Linked DNA regions of Rattus norvegicus. Each later gene encodes a partner of the first gene's protein in a complex. Links are inferred from orthologs where the notes say so. Each region holds a gene or a part of one and is shown on either strand. Other genes may lie near its edges.

The links.
Region 2: Strip2 (region 1) and Stk24 share a complex: the UniProt entries of both Homo sapiens proteins name them as parts of the core of STRIPAK complex. The link is inferred for Rattus norvegicus from reciprocal best matches to the Homo sapiens genes STRIP2 and STK24.
Region 3: Strip2 (region 1) and Stk26 share a complex: the UniProt entries of both Homo sapiens proteins name them as parts of the core of STRIPAK complex. The link is inferred for Rattus norvegicus from reciprocal best matches to the Homo sapiens genes STRIP2 and STK26.
Region 4: Strip2 (region 1) and Stk25 share a complex: the UniProt entries of both Homo sapiens proteins name them as parts of the core of STRIPAK complex. The link is inferred for Rattus norvegicus from reciprocal best matches to the Homo sapiens genes STRIP2 and STK25.

What each region holds. Positions count from the first base shown.
Region 1 is NC_086022.1:59,523,371-59,527,968, forward strand, and holds part of Strip2 (striatin interacting protein 2), read left to right. Parts: intron 1-1,925; coding exon 1,926-2,000; intron 2,001-2,581; coding exon 2,582-2,679; intron 2,680-3,262; coding exon 3,263-3,389; intron 3,390-4,598. UniProt on the Homo sapiens protein: Plays a role in the regulation of cell morphology and cytoskeletal organization. Required in the control of cell shape. Calmodulin-binding scaffolding protein which is the center of the striatin-interacting phosphatase and kinase (STRIPAK) complexes.
Region 2 is NC_086033.1:104,778,259-104,782,856, reverse strand, and holds part of Stk24 (serine/threonine-protein kinase 24), read left to right. Parts: intron 1-1,122; coding exon 1,123-1,308; intron 1,309-3,115; coding exon 3,116-3,261; intron 3,262-3,630; coding exon 3,631-3,754; intron 3,755-4,525; coding exon 4,526-4,594; intron 4,595-4,598. UniProt on the Homo sapiens protein: Serine/threonine-protein kinase that acts on both serine and threonine residues and promotes apoptosis in response to stress stimuli and caspase activation.
Region 3 is NC_086039.1:135,236,423-135,241,020, forward strand, and holds part of Stk26 (serine/threonine-protein kinase 26), read left to right. Parts: intron 1-1,055; coding exon 1,056-1,286; intron 1,287-4,598. UniProt on the Homo sapiens protein: Serine/threonine-protein kinase that acts as a mediator of cell growth. Modulates apoptosis. In association with STK24 negatively regulates Golgi reorientation in polarized cell migration upon RHO activation.
Region 4 is NC_086027.1:101,614,438-101,619,035, reverse strand, and holds part of Stk25 (serine/threonine-protein kinase 25), read left to right. Parts: intron 1-130; exon of another isoform or gene 131-148; intron 149-3,217; coding exon 3,218-3,448; intron 3,449-4,149; coding exon 4,150-4,206; intron 4,207-4,598. UniProt on the Homo sapiens protein: Oxidant stress-activated serine/threonine kinase that may play a role in the response to environmental stress.

The DNA.
Region 1 (4,598 bases):
AAGAGGGAAGAAGGAAGGAAAGAAAGAAAGAAGAAAAGAAAGAAAGAAGAAAAGGAAGGAAGGAAGAAACAAAGAAATGATCCAACAGAGCAACTAACTAAGACCTGATAACCATTATCGAGAGAAAGGAAAGAATAGGTAGGCTGGAAGGATGGCTCAGTGATTAGGAGTACTTCCTGTTATTCCAGTGTTCCTGAGATCAATTTCTAGCACCCACATAGTAAGGAACCTCTAAAATTAGCTCAGGACACCCCAAGACCAAGTTCTCAGCACAAAGGAAATTTATTTGCTCCAGAGGAACAAAGAGCAAGAAGCAAGAGACAAAGACGGGAGATAGAGGACAAGGTAAAAGGAGAAGGGAGCAAGGGGTCAAGGGTATTTGTCCTGGAGTGGGACAAAGGACTGCCTCTGGATAGAGAGGAAACAGATGTAGCCCATAGGCAAATGCAGTTTATAAAGGTAAAAGGGGAAACCGTGTGTTTGGATGAGGTGTTTGATTTTAATTGGACATTACAATTGTGAGAGCCAAAGGGGGCTTTTGATTGTTAGACTTCAATAATGTGATAGGTAGTCAGCCTCAGGAGGAGGAACTGGACAAAATGGGAATAGACCTTGGCAGCCAGCTTTGGGAAAGTCATCTAATGGTTTTAGCAAGGCAGAAGGAATCAGGGAGAAGGGCAAGGCCTGCCAGAGCCATGATGGCCACGCCTGAGCTGGCCAGAGTCCTCACACTTGGCAGCTTCCAACCATATGTAACTCTAGAGGATCCAGTACCTCTGGCTTCCACCGGCACCTGCACTCATATTCATATACCCATATGCACACAACTGTGCAAAATTAAAAATAGTGAAAATACATCTTAGAAAGAAAGATTGTAGGAAGGACCCCAAGCCCGAGTAGAGCACAGGAAGTCCTCTTGCATGTCAGATGGCAAGCAGAGACTGGCCAATCTGGTCTTCCAAAGACATGGTGTCTCTCTCATCACTCTGTCTTTGTGTGAGGCAGAGTCAACAACTTGAGGGGCTCTGGGGTGAGGGGATTGGTTGAAGAGAGAGAAAGTAGTGAGCCTTTTGGGGAGCAGGAAGGCACACATGATAAGCTCACCAGGCTCTTCTGAAAGACTATTGAAGGCTTATATCCATTGGCACAGTTAATCCTCCTTGCCTTATAGCAGTGACTCTCACTCTAAGTCACTTAAGGGAAAAAGGTCCTTAAGGGAAAAAGGACTGCATTGGTCAAAGATTTCAGTGATGCCTGGACTGCCTCTTGAGCATCTGAGACCCTACTTCTGATAAAGGGATCCATTAGGGTCATGAAGAAGACAGGGATATACATGGGGCACTTAGAAAGAAGAAAATGATGATGATAAGGATACTGGAGAGAGGGTGAAAACTAGTTTCTAACCCTTTAAAAGCTCCTTTTCATCTTTTTTCTCTGATCATGAATTACTTAACTCCATCAATACCCTCCCTATTGAATGAATCACCTACCTTTTTTGATCTCTGATTAACATCATAGGAAGTGCCTCTGTGTAGCATACCTCAATATGTTGAGTGTATTTATATATTTATAGCTTAGGTTAAACCCATATGTATCGTGTGTGTGTGTGTGTGTGTGTGTGTGTGTGTGTGTGTGTGTGTGTGTGTAACAAAGCAGTAGTCTGAGCCATTTCCTGGATTGGAGTTCTGACTCCTGATTGAGCCTGTGACACAGAAAGAGTGATTTAATTTCAGATACTAGGAATGGCACACTCAAAAGACTGGAAAAAGATAGCAGAGATCAACTAAACCAGCTCAAAGAAAAAAACTAGAGCCTAAAGAGGAATGGCCACTCATGCCAGGGCCAACTCCCATCGCAGTTCTCAGTTCGCACTACCCCTCAGCAACCAACATGTGACCTTTAGTCAACTGTGTTTTCTGCCATAGGGAGAAGAGGTGATACCAGAAACACCGAGTGAAATCCTCTACCAGGGCATGCTGTACAGCCTCCCCCAGTACATGGTAAGGAGCCGGCTAGACCAGAGCTGCCCTTTTCTACTAAGAGGGACTAAGGATCTGAACTTCCCTTGTGACTCCTCTGCAGGTGCCATTCTCCCTAGCCTTTCTACTGGGGCCTGGGGTGCAGAGTAAAGTAAGGTCCACCCACAGACGATGTGTCCGCTGCTAGCTAATTACCACCAGCATAAGTCTGCCATTCTCTACTACGTCTTTGGTAGCCTCTGGCGGGGAATAGTGAAGATGCTGATAGGGTCAGAGGAAGAACAAGAAGGGAGGATGTTGGGCTTATCTCTCCTACTTATTTCTCCACATTGCCCCTCCAAGTTTGTTCTTTCTGTTCACTTTGGGAGCAACCCTGAAACAAAACAGCCTAGAAACTTGCTTTGGCCTTCTCCCTTGGCCTCAGAGACAGACCTCAGGATACATACCTGTTTGCATTACTATATGCAAGGCTTAGTCACTGAGGGAAGATCTTAGATAAAGACTTTGAAATACTTTTCATTTGGGCTAGAGAAGTTTGGAAGAACCACCATTTTGCTGAGTGGGATAGACAATGGTGGCTTTCCTCTTTTTCTGTCTCTTAGATTGCTCTGCTTAAGATTCTGCTGGCTGCAGCCCCCACCTCCAAGGCTAAGACAGACTCTATCAATATCCTGGCAGATGTCCTCCCTGAAGAGATGCCGTGAGTACTTCAACTGGGGCGGCTGCGAGACACCAGGGTCTTGTCTTCAGGCCCTCTCTGTCCCACTGGTGGCACTGTGGTAACAGGAATGGTCTTAAGAGAAACCTCTCCTTTTCCACATGTACCTTCCTGTCTCCTGCAGAACCTTCTACCTACTGAGCTCTATGTAGCTCAGAACTAGGGTCCAACAGAAAACCTCAGTGCTGGTGACTAGTTGCCAGATGCATGAGTAGGCAGTGCCAGGGGATAAGTTTGCCAGAGACAGGACACATTAACAAAGATGATGAAAGCTTTTTCCTGGATAGATTCCGAAATGGGAACTTTGGAGACTTCCCTAGCAGAGAAGTTCAGGTTTCCTAAATTCTAACTATATATCTTCTGACTATAGATATAGATAGATAGATAGATAGATAGATAGATAGATAGATAGATAGATAGATAGATAGATAGATAGATAGATAGATAGATATGTGTGTTTTATATATATCCCCATGACTATCTAACCCAACTCCTTGGGTCTTTGATCCTAGACATCCGTCCTTCATCCCTACCTTTCTCCTAATGCTTCCTCTTTCCCTTGCAGTGCGACTGTTCTCCAGAGCATGAAGCTAGGCATTGATGTGAACAGACACAAGGAGATCATTGTGAAGAGTATCTCTGCCCTGCTCCTTCTACTTCTCAAACACTTCAAACTCAACCATATCTACCAGGTGAGCAGCTAGGGACACTACGTCACAAGTTCCCAGTATTCCTCATACCACAGGGCCATCAGGAATCCTCGTACTGCTGTGTATTTTACTTCACCTTGGTTTGTCCCAAATGAGAGAGTCCAGCTACTTGTGGCATGAGTGTATGGTGAGGATATGGAGTGGGGTGTGGGGAGTCATCTTACAAAGGTGCAAATTCTATATTCTTTGTTGGTTAGCTCCAGGACTGCCTAGAGATTCTTAAGAGTACTCCTAGCAAGTTAGACTAATTCAGTCACTCAGGAAAGGACACTGGGCATATTGGCCATACTCATCTGTGTGTGAAACACTTTTCTGAATCTGAGATCTAATTCTAAATGAGACACAGTTCAGACTCTTACAGACCGTACAGTCTTGTAACAGATATCTAAATGCCCAATCGTAGAGTGGGGTGCTGTAGATAGGCGCTAGATGCTGTTGAAATACCTAATCCAACTTGAGGTAGAGAAGAGGCAACTTTTAATCTAAGTCTCAGAAACAGATGTAAGCCATCAAATGGGACTTATCAGGGAAGAGAAAAACCAATTCAAGCAGAAAACACAATATGTGAAAGCTCAGAGGAGAAAGTACAGAGAACATTTGGAAACTAATTAAATATTGCTGGAGTTCTGTCTCAGAGTGGGGTGACAGAGATGATCTGCGGATATGTGAAGTCACAGGAGTTGGCAGGGATCACATATCTGATTTAACACACAATTATGAAATTCCTATAATGTGCTTGACATCCTACAAAACTTTGTGAGCTTCTTACCCTAGGAGTCCTTATTTTATCCATGTTTTTTTGGGGGGTGGGAGGCGGGGGGGGACTGGTAGGCTTTTTGGATATTTTTGTTTTGAGACAAAGTCTCACTGTGCAGCTGTCCTTGAACTCATAGCCTCAAACTCACAGAGATCCTCCTACCTCTGCCTCCTGAGTACTCCAGTTTCTCCCTCCCTGGTTTATAGGTGAGGTGATAGGGGTTAAAGTCAAGATTTTGCTTTGCTTTCCCACAAAGGTATTTGCCTTGGGCCTGTAGGCATTATCGAGGTACAAGGACAAGATGAAGACAAGCGAAGTGAATGGAAGCTTCTGTAGGGAGAGTGTGGGAATATGGAGCCCTACTCACTTCTGCCCTGAGGCTTTACCCCGTTTCCCACCTAAGCACTCAAAATAAAGCTGACAAAAGAGTGAAT
Region 2 (4,598 bases), on another chromosome or scaffold:
TATAGATACTCCTTGATAAACTCACTGTAAGTTGGAAGAACCCCCTGCCCATTCTGGTAGCAGTGCTGCCTGGAACAGGGGCCGGCTGCTGCCCCCAGTACCACACGAAAGCCGCCATGCACCCAGCCCTCCAGCTGCTGTGCACACAGCCTGGGAAAGCTCCAAGTTCAGGAGCTGCATTTCTACTACCAGTGTCAGGATGCAGGCAAGCCCTGCTTGGCTGGCATATCGAAGTACTGGGGGCAGGTGTCAAGATAGCTTTTGTCTGTTTGTCTCTTTCTTTGAGACAAGGTTCTACTATAAAAAGCTCCAGTATTTTGCTGTGTATGTAGCTTGAGCTGGCCTCAGACTTGTGGCAATCCTGCTGCCTCTGTCTCCTGAGTGCTGGGATTACAGGTCACTATCCTTACCAAAGTCTGTGTGGAAGTGACAGTAATGATTACCGTTGTGTGCTGTATGTATGACTATGTTAATGCTGTCCATGTCTGTGTGTTGTAATAAACATTCGGTAGCACTGATGGAGAGCATGTGCCCCGGGTTCAGTGCCCACCACTGCAAATGCAATCAAACAGAACACAAAGGCTGTAATTTCTAGGCACAGTGGTAATATACACAGTTGTCCCTTCCTACACCCTTGTAACTACCTCCCTTGTGAAAATCAAGGGGACCAATGGGCTTAGGGAAAGCTGTTTGTCTAGTGTTGTAAGACCCTGATTGTAGAGCTGATTTGAGACCAGGGTGCTCACTTGGTCTGAACCGAAGTGCGTGGCACCAGGTGCTGCTCAAGGGACGCCGTTCCTCCTCCTCATCTGCTCCGTTGGCTGCTGCTGCTAGGGCTGCAAAGTCCCCACTGAGCACACCTGACACAGGCATGATGTCTACCGTAGACGTGGCCGTTTGCATCGCTACTGGAGCAGTTTTGTATTTCTATGTAGCATTTGCTACATAAAATCTGTCCACTTGTTTCCTATGTTAAAATCATGCTAAGGGCTTGTGTGTTTTGTAGTTCAGAATAACGGTCTTTTTCAGAACCTGAGAGTGAAGCACACGTACTTTCCCCTCCCTTGTGCTTGTCTGAAGGTGGGTCTTTTCCGTGCCTTTAAGATGCTTTTGTCCTTGCAGGCGGACATCTGGTCCCTCGGCATCACAGCCATAGAACTGGCCAAAGGCGAGCCGCCACATTCTGAGCTGCACCCCATGAAGGTGCTGTTCCTTATCCCAAAGAACAACCCTCCCACGCTGGAGGGCAGCTACAGCAGACCCCTCAAGGAGTTCGTGGAGGCCTGCCTGAACAAGGAGCCCAGCTTCGTGAGTGCGGGCCCTTCCTGGGGTCGGCTTGGTCTGCATTTCCTCTGTTGGGCTTGTGCCAGCTGCTCTTCCAGCCGTCTCCCTGGTCTCTGGAATCTTGGCAAATGAATTCAATTTCTCTCTCTCTCTCTCTCTCTCTCTCTCTCTCTCTCTCTCTTTCTTTCCTTCTTTCCCTCCCTCCCTCCCTCCCTCCCTCCCTCCCTCCCTCCCAGAACTCTCTGCAGACCAGGCTGGTCTGCCTCGGCTGGGCTCCCCCACTTCCCTGTCCCTTTAATTATGGATGCCTAGTTTTTGTTGCCCATGTTGCCTTCTTGCCTTTCAGGGATTTAAGATGTAATTATTTTATCTTAGATTCATTGAGCCTGAAGAATATTTTACTTAGTATTGTGAGGTAGGAGTATCAGTTTTTAATATTGATAGAGAAAAATCAGGCTGTAAAACTAGAAAGCCACTTCAGCAGTAGCAGAGCATAGACTCAAAATAAAGGAAGCAGATGTTCAGTTTCCAGTTGTCATGTGCCAGGAGACAGACACGTAGGTACACATGAGCCACCCACTCTGCCACCCTGCCTTTTCTCTGTGTTTACTCAGTGGTGGCAAAGCCTGTGGCCTTAGCTACTCTGAGCTTTCCTCATTTTTCTCTGAGAACTGGGGCAGCCTGTGTGTTTCGTCCCATGTAGCCCTCCGTGCCCTAGCTTTGTTTTGGGTTTAGCTGGGCCAAGGCTTCACTGAACCCAAAGAATAATCATGGAGGGTCCCCGTGAGCTTTTGTCTAAAATGGTGAGAAGATGAATTTCACAGGAGCATCATGTGGCTCCCAGTAGGAGCCAGTTCTGGCAAAGGATTTAGAAAGGACAGGCAACCCAGTCTCGGCTCCCAGGGGCTACAGGCTGAGGTCAGCAGGTCAGCATTTGGTACTGGGTCAGGTATCAGATGGTGGGTGTGGTTTTGGTGTCAGTCCTGGTGGTTGGTTGTTGTGCCGTGGTGCTGCAGAGTGTAGTGTAAGAGGGATCCGAATGTGTGTACATTTTCTTCTAAGCACACGCAGTGCTGGTTCATTCCCACCATGCCCCCTTCTACCTTGGCTTACCCTGGACCTTCAGACACGAGGGCTCCAGAGCTGAGGACACTGGGATGTTTGGATGTCACAGCCGGGAGCTGATGCCAGTAGGGGGAGCCACTGGCTTAAACTCTCTGTGCATTTGGTGGGAGTTGTGCCATTCCTGGGTGGGGATCAAGCTATTGGTCCCAGTCACCAGTGTGGGGATAGCTTCATAGACCTATTTTTCTAAGTAGGGAGTGCTGGTGACTGAGGGGACCCAGCCAGGAGCCAGTCAGGTCTCTCCTGACTCCTGCCCCTACCTCATAGATGAGTCGAACCTGTGAACTCAGTTTCTGGTATTCGTCTAACACCGGAGGAGATCATAACGACACGTATTTCCCTTAGCCAGCACTTACCATGAGAAACCAAGTAAAAACAAGATGAACTCTCTCAGACAGTACTCACAAGGTTCTCTGTGGAGTTCTTCGCAGGAGTTCTCTTGCTTTGGTGAACTGCTCTAGTAGGATGCTTCAGTCTTTGTTGGAAACTCTGTGCCATTTTTCCTTGTGCCTGTAAACTTGGGCACAGGTATGATGACTTCTCCAGCACGCCTGAGCGGGAAGCAGGCTCAGAAGCAGGCTCAGAAGCAGAACCCAGGGCTGCTCCGTGGTACGGTGGTCTGGCATTTTGACCCAAAAGTCTTGTCTGTTAGAGGGGGATGAAGAAGAAACTTCCTCTCCTGCTTATGTCGACGTGTGTTTTCCAGAGGCCCACTGCTAAGGAGTTATTGAAGCACAAATTTATAATCCGCAATGCAAAGAAAACGTCCTACCTGACTGAGCTCATCGACAGGTACAAGAGGTGGAAGGCGGAGCAGAGTCACGAGGACTCCAGCTCGGAGGACTCAGATGTGTAAGTCGCCCTGTGGGGCTCCCCACGCCTGCAGCACACTCTTGGACCCTGCTTCTTTGGGGGTGGGCTTCTGTGTATGTAGCTGTGGCAGATAGGGGTAGAGCTGGGGTGGGGGGGGGGCAGGCAAGCAAAAGAGAGTACAGACAAGAGCCATGGCCAGGAGGAGGAACCTGTGGAGACACTGAGACCCAAGAAAGACGAACAGTAAATTGGCAGATGGATCCTGAGGAGAGCTGAGGCCACTGTGTGCGGGAGGTGGCAGTGGCAGTGGTTGGGGTGGGCCAGGGGTGGGGGGCCGGGGGTCATTGGTCTGCGCAGTGCAGCCCCTGGCCTTGTCTGTGCTGGTGAACTTGGGATTTCTATTCCAAGGGAGACAGATAGCCAGGCGTCTGGAGGCAGCGACTCTGGGGACTGGATCTTTACCATCCGGGAGAAAGACCCCAAGAATCTGGAGAACGGAACTCTTCAGCCCTCAGATTTGGAAAGAAATAAGGTACAGCGTGCCTACCAGCCAGTGGCCCTGGGGAATCGTTCACAATAAGCCTGCTGTGGGAGCAAACGAGGTGCCCCTCCAAGCAGCTCCTTGCTGGCATCTGCCCTTAGGGAGTTGACGGGTTAGAGATTGAGCTCTGTCTGACCACCTGAGGACTGAGATGTGGGCCTGAGCGTGGGTGCCGGTCTGCTCCGTGCTGAGTCGTTACCCTCGCCTTGTGTAACACGGTCCTCCTGACCCTCAGCCACATGGTGGACTTGGATGTGACGCTTCACGTGTGAAAACTCTGAGTAGCTGTCGGGCTTACAACACCCTGATTTCCCTCCGGGAATTTTAATTTCAGGCCCTTAAAGATCAGTATGTTCTTTTGATACTTAATATAGACTTAATGTTGGTGAGGTGGTTTTCCACTTAAATTTACAAAAAGTTATGTTTTAAAGATGAGTTTGTCTGTCCATCTGTGTGGCTGCATAGGCCTGAGGAGCTCATTAGTTCAGAGAGAGTGGGAGTCTCTCACTCTGGCGGTACGGACAGAGTACCTGGCTTCAGCTCTCTAAGGTTTCCTCAGCAAAACCTGCAGAGCACTCATGTCTTTGTCTAGGGCGTTCACGCCTGGCATCTTGCAGTGGGTTCACAGCTACGTGGGTAGCGCCCCTTTGTAGAGAGAAATAGTTTCCTCAGGGGGCGGCTGGAGAATCCAGTCATCCTTGGTAGGATTCTGCCTATGGCAGCGGTGCCTGCTTCTAATAGTCCCTTCTCTCCTTCTCCAAGATGAAAGACTTCCCAAAGAGGCCCTTCTCTCAGTGCTTGTCCACAATCATTTCTCCTCTGTTTGCGGAGGTAA
Region 3 (4,598 bases), on another chromosome or scaffold:
CTATTGTGAATAGTGCAGCAACAGGCATAAGGGTACATGTCTCTGGTAAGGTTCCTTCATTTCTTCATAGGATAAACTCCAGTGTGTGATTGATTCACATTCCTACTAACTCTGTGTGTGTGTGTGAGTGTGTGTGTGTGTGTGTCTGTGTTTGTGTGTGTGCCTGTGTCTGTATGTCTGTGTGTGTGTGTGTGTGTCTGTGTCTGTGTGTGGTGTGTGTGTGTGTCTGTGTGTGCCTGTGTCTGTATGTCTGTGTGTGTGTCTGTGTCTGTGTCTGTGTCTGTGTTTGTATGTGTGTGTGTGGTGTGTGTGTGTGTCTGTGTGTGCCTGTGTGTGTGTGTGTGTGTGTGTGTGTGTGTGTGTACCATTCAGTTTGGTTGAAAGATGGGGAACTCATACTGAGCTGGCCTTGCTCTAGAAGCTTCTTACCTGCTGACTAAGTACCAAAACGTCAGAACAGGCCTGTGTGGGGAGAATTATCCTCACCAACCTTACCCGTGAACTTTGCATGCTGGACTGAGGTCCAGCCAGGCAAGGTGTGTTCACTGGTGACTGTGATGTGGGTAACCAACCACTTATTGAATTTTAGAACTGCTTCATGAGAAAAAAATTCTATCTGATAGTATAAATCTGTGGCTGGGAAGATAATAGGTCTTGGTGGGAAAGTTATTGCTGTTGTTTTCCTCGGTTGACATTATGTATTCATCCAGTTACCTTCTACATACTTAAGTTTATCCCCAAAGGCTGCTCCAGTTAGCTTTGATAAAACAAAACAAAACATCTTTAAAAAAAAAAGAGCACTACAATAGCTGCTCTTGCTGGAGATACACATTCAGTTCCAGCACCCACTTGACAGCTCACAACCGGCTATTACTCCAGTTGCAGGGAAACCAATGCCATCTTTGTGCCTCCACAGGTACCAGACACACATGTGGTCTAGGTGCCCTTACATGTATGTGGGCAAATAAAGGTAAACACACATACAAACAAACCTAAAAGAAAAAAAAATGATTTCGATAATTGAGGTTTTTCCTTTTTTTCTTTCTTCCCCTTAGAATAATATCGCGGATCCAGAAGAACTGTTCACAAAATTAGAGCGCATTGGAAAAGGCTCCTTTGGAGAAGTTTTCAAAGGAATCGATAACCGAACTCAGCAAGTGGTTGCAATTAAAATCATTGACCTTGAGGAAGCCGAGGATGAAATAGAAGACATCCAACAAGAGATAACTGTTTTGAGTCAGTGCGACAGCTCATATGTTACAAAATACTATGGGTCCTATCTAAAGGTAACATGCATGCTATATTATTTTATAAGTTGTTTTCATTGTGCTTTGCTTTCTTTTAATTCTGTTTTTGAAAGCTAGTATCTTTTTAAGGTACTGTATCTTTAATATTTTAAATAGCAGATATGTTCTCAAGCTTCCTTTGTACACTTTGTTATTCTTCTTCTTCTTCTCACCATTATTTGGATAGAGAACGTCAGCCTAGGAACCACAGCTTTCTCGAGCTCACCACAGACCGTGTGCTGCGCCTTTATCTTTCACTCGTGCTTGCTGCCTATACTCACTTCACACTAATTGATAGAATCTGCCCACTTACTACAAAGAGCCAAAAACAAGGACGTGTCTGGCAGATTCTTCACCATCCTTGTCGATGTTCCTAGTAATGGGTATTTGAAAGTATCCTGTCTTAATACTTCATTTTAAATATTAAATACATGCAGGTGTTTATATGTCAATTCTATTTGAGTGAATCTTCTTACAGAAAACAAAGTATTTCTTAGCAGAATTAAAGAGAAGGATACGTTTCTGGGCCTTGAGGCCAGCTCTACTTTCTCTTTCCCATTCTTCTTTTTCATTATGTTTCCTGTTCCCAGGATCTTGGCTTGCACCGTCAGAGGCTTTCCTCTATGCAGGCATCACTAGGATGTGCTGTCAGAGCTTGCTGGCTCATCTCAGCTACAGAGAAAGGCAGTATCTTGTTTACTTTTGAGACCCGATCTTACTAGGTAGCCCTGGCTCTCCTGGAACTCACTATGTAGACCAGGCTGGCCTTGATCTCAGAGATATCTGCCTGGTAGGATTAAAGGTGTGCAACACCGTGCCTGGCTCAAAAGGCAGTGCCATAAAATAGGAATCGTCAGTCTTTATCCTCTGGGCAGAATCAAGTACCATTTATAGTGTCAACTGAACCACTGTTAGAGTTAACAGCCACTTCTGGAAAGTACACCAGTGTTCATATGCCCTCTTCCATCCCTGAACTTTTGGTACAGTGGAAGAGAAACATCAGTGATCATTAAGGCCTCTTTGCTGCAGAAAAGCTGTACCTCTGGGCTTCCACATTCTGCTCTTAATAGGTTAATCTGTCTCAACCTCAGAACTGATGGCGTACATAAGTATGACCCTTAATATATTAAGTTATAGTGGTTATCTATGCATTTTTCTCTCACTGGGTTGTGAATTCATTGATGACAAGAAGTTTAGCTTGACTAGTCCTAGGTGTTATATCCCTTAGTAAAGCAGAGTAAGATACCTAACTTAGCAAGTCCTATTCATTTATGGGACTCTTCGGGGTTATCTCTCGATCTCAGGACCTTCAGGTTCTCCCCCAGTTCTCACAATTGGCCTGGTTGCAGGCAGTGTTCATAGGTGTTAGTGCTCTTTCTAGTTTGCTCTTTCTGGATTGAATCCTGGCCATTCCAGACTCTCTCTAGAGCAAACCTGAACCCTTGCTATTTTTAGGCACTTAGATCAGATAAGCTAATTTGGGTGGCTGGCTTAAAATATTAAATCAACCCTGTGTAAAATCGGGTTTTTAGATATATTTTATTTTAAATCAGCAATACCATGGTAGCAAGGATTTATTTGATACTTTAAGCCTTTATTCATAGCCCTCTCATAGACAAAAGTGCTGCAGCTGCATGGGCTTTTATTTGGAAAAGATCATATTTTAAAATACTCCCTTCAGCCTAGCCTAGGAGTATCCACACACTAGTCATCTATGAATGACTTCATCTCTTCATAGTGCAAACTAATACTTGATGTTTTCCCCAAATACTGATGGGAAAATGTATTTGGAGCAGCCCATGACAGAAAACTAGTTTGCTAAAGGCTAAAACGGAATTTTTATTTTTTATCGCCTTTACCAATTCTTTATGGAAGTCCTGTAAAGGGTATTTGAAGAACCCTTTTCTTCATGATAAAACTGTATAAATGCTGTTAGAGGTGAGTGGATATTCATACAATACTTAGAACTGTTTTCTGATTTAAAATTACTTTAAAATTGAGTCAGGCCCATGTGTGCATGGGCTGGGTGCCCATGCATGCACGTGTGTGTGTGTGTGTGTGTGTGTGTGTGTGTGTGTAAGGATGAGACCCAGAGTGTTGTATTACCACTAAGCTAAATCCTATTCCTTAAAGTATAGTCTGGGCTGGCCTTGAATTTGTGATTCTCCTGCTATTACCCTGTGCAGCTTTTTGATTACCATTGAACCACCCTGGTGGGCTAAGTACTTCACTGAAATTAACCAACTCATTATTTCTCATTTATATTTTCATACTGTGATTGCATAGGCATGCATTTTTATTGTAAACTAAAACCACATCAAATATAATAGGGTTCTGTTTAATGCAGTCAGCATAACTTAAGACCACATCCTGTTAGTACCATGAGGGAACAGCTTTGTCAACTGACTTAGCTATGTACTGGGGGCCTGTTGGTGCATTTCAGATGGCAGTGGAGTTTGTGAGTCAACTTAATTGAGCAAAACGGGATATGGGATTTACACAGGATATCATACATAACCAAGGCTTCACTGTAAGCTGGAGTAAAATTTACTGCATTTGGGAGAAAATTATACGTTCTCTAAAACTGTGTGTAGTTGTCGTGATCTCCTTCAGACATGCAAACATTTACTAGGTATTAATTTTGACTGAGCTCACTGTAGAACTCCATCTTTAAAAACAAGAGTAAAAAACCAGACAAACACATCAGTGTGACCACAATGGTTTCCTTTCCTCTCCGTTCACTGCAGCTTGTCTTGACAAAGTTAGTCTTTATGAAGACTTCTACAGTCTGCAAGCCCTTTTCTTCTGACTTCATACTAATTGAAGAATCTTTCATCATCCTTAAATATTTTGTTAGTTTGATGTAAATTTTAAAAAGAAGCTCATTCAGGCACTGAATGGAATTTGAATCAAGCCTGTATTTGCTGCTGAAATTACCTTTATGTTAAGGGAATATGACCCCACCCTCAGATCCATATTTATTACAACCAGTAATTTTTTTAAAAAAAAGAATGAATGAAGTGAAGTGTTTCAGAGTAAAACCTACAGTTGTATGGCCTTTTTATTTTTTAACCAAACCTTCATGTGTAATTGCATGTAGAATATGTTCAGTGCCTCTGGAATATTGTTTTATTTGAAAATGTGTGTAGGGTTTTCTGATAAAGCTTGATGGCCATTTCTTTCTCCATTGTAAAATGTTCTTTTCTCAAAATACAAATGGCTTTAGGCTTAACGTAATCCATCTCTAAGAAACCCCATATTTCAACAGACATGTATTTATTGAATATCCTACGATGGGTATTCTCGGTCACT
Region 4 (4,598 bases), on another chromosome or scaffold:
CAAAAATAAAAGAACAAAACAAAACATCAACAAAACAGGCAGGTAAAGGTCTGCTATGTGGACCTTATTCTGCACCTGACTTTCAGGGCTGGCATTGAGCAGAGGATCAAGTGGTCACTGCCCAGACGTGAAGTGACAGGAGGCTAAGGTATTGTCACACTGATCACATCCACCTTTATCAGTTGTCTCTACACTGATGAGTGTGGGGAGAGCCCATGGCCTGGAGTGGTTCTTTCTGATCTGGCTTGGATCCAGTGCTGATCTTGAAATAGCTGAAGTGTCTGACCTATCAGCCACACTAGAGATTTTTTTCTTGGCTTTTCATTTAAGTAGGAGTGGCTGGGATCAAACACTACTTCCTGGCCAGTACAGCCTAAGGAACACAGGCAATCCTCAGCTTTCTCTGTCAGGCCAATCTCAGTGCGGCCTTTCAGGAGCTCAGGTGGCAGATCTACTCCAAGCATCTATTGCTGTTCCCCGAGAGCTGGTCTTAGGATGTGGCTTCCAGTCCTGATGTGGCTGTGAGAACAGTCACTCTGCATTGGACTGCACTACCTTTTTCTTTTCTTTAAAAAACAAAAAGCAACAATTACATTTATTTATGGATGGGTAGGTCTGTATGTGTAGGTGTTAGAAGACCACTTATGAGAGCTGGTTCTCTCCTACTATGTGAGTTGGGATCAAACCCAGGTTGTTAGACTTGGTGACATGTGCTTTTAACCACTCAGCCACCTCCTGGTCTGTCTTTTTTTTTTTTTTTTTCCCCTTTCCTTTTAATAAGATTCATTTACCTTTATGTGTATGCATGAGTATCTACATATATGTATGTGCACCACATGTGGGCAGTGCTTGAGATTGTGTGCAGTGCAAACCGCAGCTCTGTGTAAGAGCAACAAGGACTCTTAACCACTCTTCAGCCCCCTGGTCAAAGTAGGGTACATATGGATGCCACAGCTGGGCTGCCTAGAGTGCCTACCTGGGAACTGTGTGGAGGTTAGTGGTACATACTCAGACCTCACAAAGGCAGTTTTGCTTGGAGAGGTCAGGTGACTTCTGTGTTAAGACACTACCCTTGTTCCTGGAGCTCTTCCCAAGCTTGTCTCTGGTCTGCCTCATCTTATTCTACAGAGTTCTTGGCTGGTAAGGGGCTGGGTAGTTTGGTTCTCTATGTCACCCTATTCTTTTTTTTTTTGGTTCTTTTTTTCGGAGTTGGGGACCGAACCCAGGGCCTTGCGCTTCCTAGGCAAGCACTCTACCGCTGAGCTAAATCCCCAGCCCCTATGTCACCCTATTCTTTTGTGGTTAAAACCTTAGAAATGTAGCTAGTCAGCAATTTCAGATTGAAATGTCCCTGGAAAGTCTTGGATTGGGTTTAGTCAGGTCTCTAAGACCTATTGCTGTGCTCCAAGAGAAAGGGCTGTGGCAGTTAGGCCTCAGGGAAGCAGGCAATCATGTTTATTCTTGGTGGACAGGCTTTGTAAGTAAACACCTAGGACAAGCTCTTCCTAAGCACAGAGGGATTTGAACGTCAGTACTTACACAGTTGTAAATAAGGGTGGTTTTGCCTTTTCATGTATTGCTTTTTTTTTTTTTCTTCCCAATCCTGGGGATATTAGGCAAGCACTCGGTCACTGAGTTATCTATCTCCCTAACCCTATTCTTTGAAAACATCAGCTCACAGCCCCTATGATCCATATGTGTTGGTTGTAAGACAACTTTCTGGGAGTCCGTTCTCTTATTCCCCATGTGGGTCTAGAGAATCAAACTCAGGTTGTTGGGCTTGGTAGCAAGTACCTTTACTAAATGAACCATCTTACCAGGCCTGTTTGGTTCCTTTTAAATGGCACCAAAACACTGTTTGGGGGACATCCTTTTTGTGAGAGTATTTCCTAATGGAGATAGAACCTAACAACGTTGAAAAATTGGATGAGACTCAACTTTCCCATCCCAGGTCTTTTGGCAGCTTGGCCAGTGGTTTGGAGGGCCATGTGCTTTTCCACAGTCCAACAGGTGTCACAGGTCAGGGTATGGTCACTCTGTGGTGGCACTAGGAGTCACTTTCTTCTTTCCTTATCTGTGCAGCCCTGGAGTATCCTCAGTTCCTAGTTCAAATATTGTAGTGTGATTTGGACAGAGGATTTACCTTTGCCATCCTGGTTCTTCACTTGTAGTGTACCGGTCTTTAAACCAGGTACCTCAGCATGGTTGGTTCAGCAATGATTAGGTCTTATTTGTTTAAATCCGAGACCCACATAGGGTAGCATTGTGTGTTGAGTATCTAGAGTCAAGCATCTGAGAAAGTGTTCAATGCAGTGCTGGTATGGGGGTGTAGCTGGCTAGAGGATTGATTTGGGAATGGAGAAGTATTTCAATGGGTGTAGATTTTAGGAATGTGGAAGACATAAGTTAACTTGTGCTAAACTTTAATTTTTCTATTTTTTTCTCCTTTATTTGCGTTTTCAAGACAGGGTTTTTCTGTTTAGCTCTAGTTGTCCTGGAATTTACTTTATAGAAACCAAGCTAGCCTCAAACTCAGAGATCTACCTACCTCTGCCTCCTGAGCGCTTGGACTAAAGGCATGCACCACAATATCCAGCTAAATTTTATTTTTATTTATTTTAAAATTTTGTGTGTGTGTTTGTGTGCACGAAGATCCTTCAAGGCCAGAGACCTCAGATCTCGTAGAGCTAAAGTTCTAGGCAGTTTTGAGAATTGAATTCCAGTTCTCTGCAACAGCAGTATGTACTTTTAACCACTAAGCCATCTTTTCAGTCCTCAGCTCACGTTAATTTTAATTGTTTGGTTTTTATTAGTACAGTTTTAAATTTACAGTAAAATGAGGTTTAAAATACACACACACACACACACACACACACACACACACACTCACTACCTGTGACTCCTGTCAGGTCTTAGCCTGGCTCCTTGTTAGACAACTGGTGAAGGCACCTTGAGATGCGGTATTTCCTAAGGTTTATAGTGTACATCAGGATTCACTATCAGATCCATTGACCATAGTGTCAGTTGGAGAGTGCAGAGTTCTATTTAGGTCTTCTGAACAAGGGATAAGGGCAGAAACACACTGAGGTGAGTTCCCTTGAGTTCCTTACAGTGGGTCATGCCCTCTGTCAGTAGGGCAGTCTTGTCTGACTAGTATTTCTCTAGTGACTATTGCCCATGCAGTGTCCCAACATTCTTTCCCTGTTGGCTTCTATAGCATTCTCGTGTGGACCCAGAGGAACTCTTCACCAAGCTTGACCGAATTGGCAAGGGCTCATTTGGGGAGGTGTACAAGGGGATCGACAACCACACGAAGGAGGTGGTGGCCATCAAGATCATTGACCTGGAAGAGGCCGAGGATGAGATTGAGGACATCCAACAGGAGATCACCGTGCTCAGCCAATGTGATAGCCCTTACATCACTCGCTACTTCGGCTCCTACCTAAAGGTGCCTACGAGGAGGAGGTTGTCTATAGTGGTTGGGGATGGAGCACTCTGAAAGGTCTGTGTCAGGCTGTCTCCTTTGTTTCCAGAGGGATTAATATGTGCCCAAGGATAGAGAGCAGAGGAGATGGCTATGGGCACTTAGAATCCCTGTGGAAGGGCAGAGCGGTCCCCCCTCCCTGATAATCTCAGCTTTATAAAAGCAGCCTGTTCTCTTGAGAAGTGCCAGTTCCAAAGTGTCTGTCTATTTGTGGGTATTGTTAGACACAGTGTGAGGGGTCCCTGCAGGCAGTTGATAGTTTTGGGGACTGCTTAGAGGGTACTTGGGCAGAGTAGACTCAGGTTCTGCTCTGAGCAGTTGGTCTGTCCAACAGGTGTCTGTACCAGAGGTATGGGTAGGTGCGTGGTCAGAGAGGCCTTTTGTCTGTTCTTCCTCCTAAAGAGGGTCTGTGTAGACCAGGCTGGCCTTCAACTCACAAGAGATCTGCCTGCCTCTGTCTCCCAAGTATAGGAATAAGGTGTGTGCCATTTCTAGCTTCCTTGCCGGGCTAGAACCCTATCCTATTTGGAACTTGCCTGGTATAGTTGCTGTATGTCCCAGGCCCTTAGCTGACTACTTTCGGTGTCCTTAGAGGGGTGGCCTGTGGACTTGGGTATTCCTGCTTCATTTGCTGCCCAGGCACTGACAGGTTTCTCTGCTCCCAGAGCACCAAGCTATGGATTATCATGGAGTACCTGGGTGGTGGCTCTGCACTGGACTTGGTAAGTTTTGACTCAAGCAATGAGCAACTTGTTCTTGAGGCTTGTCTTTCAGTGACCCAGGACCCACTGCCGTGCTTTTAGGCTTGTGCTTGTGGGCTTTCTCAGGCTACATATCACTGTTCTATATGCTATATACCTATCAGGAATTGTCAGTTCCCCAAGCAAATCACTGTTTATCTTTCCTTGGTTGATGCTAAAAGAAGTCTTGGGCCTCTACTGGGCTAGGGCGTAGGCACAATTAGAGCCCCAGACAAATAAGAGAGTCAGGGCTGTTGCTGACCTATTCTCATCTTTATAGTAACAGGGAAGATTAAAGTAACTCTTAAGTTTTCTGAAAACAGCCTCTGTCACCCTTCCTTACTTCCCCTATTATCCTTGACAGCTGAAAATAT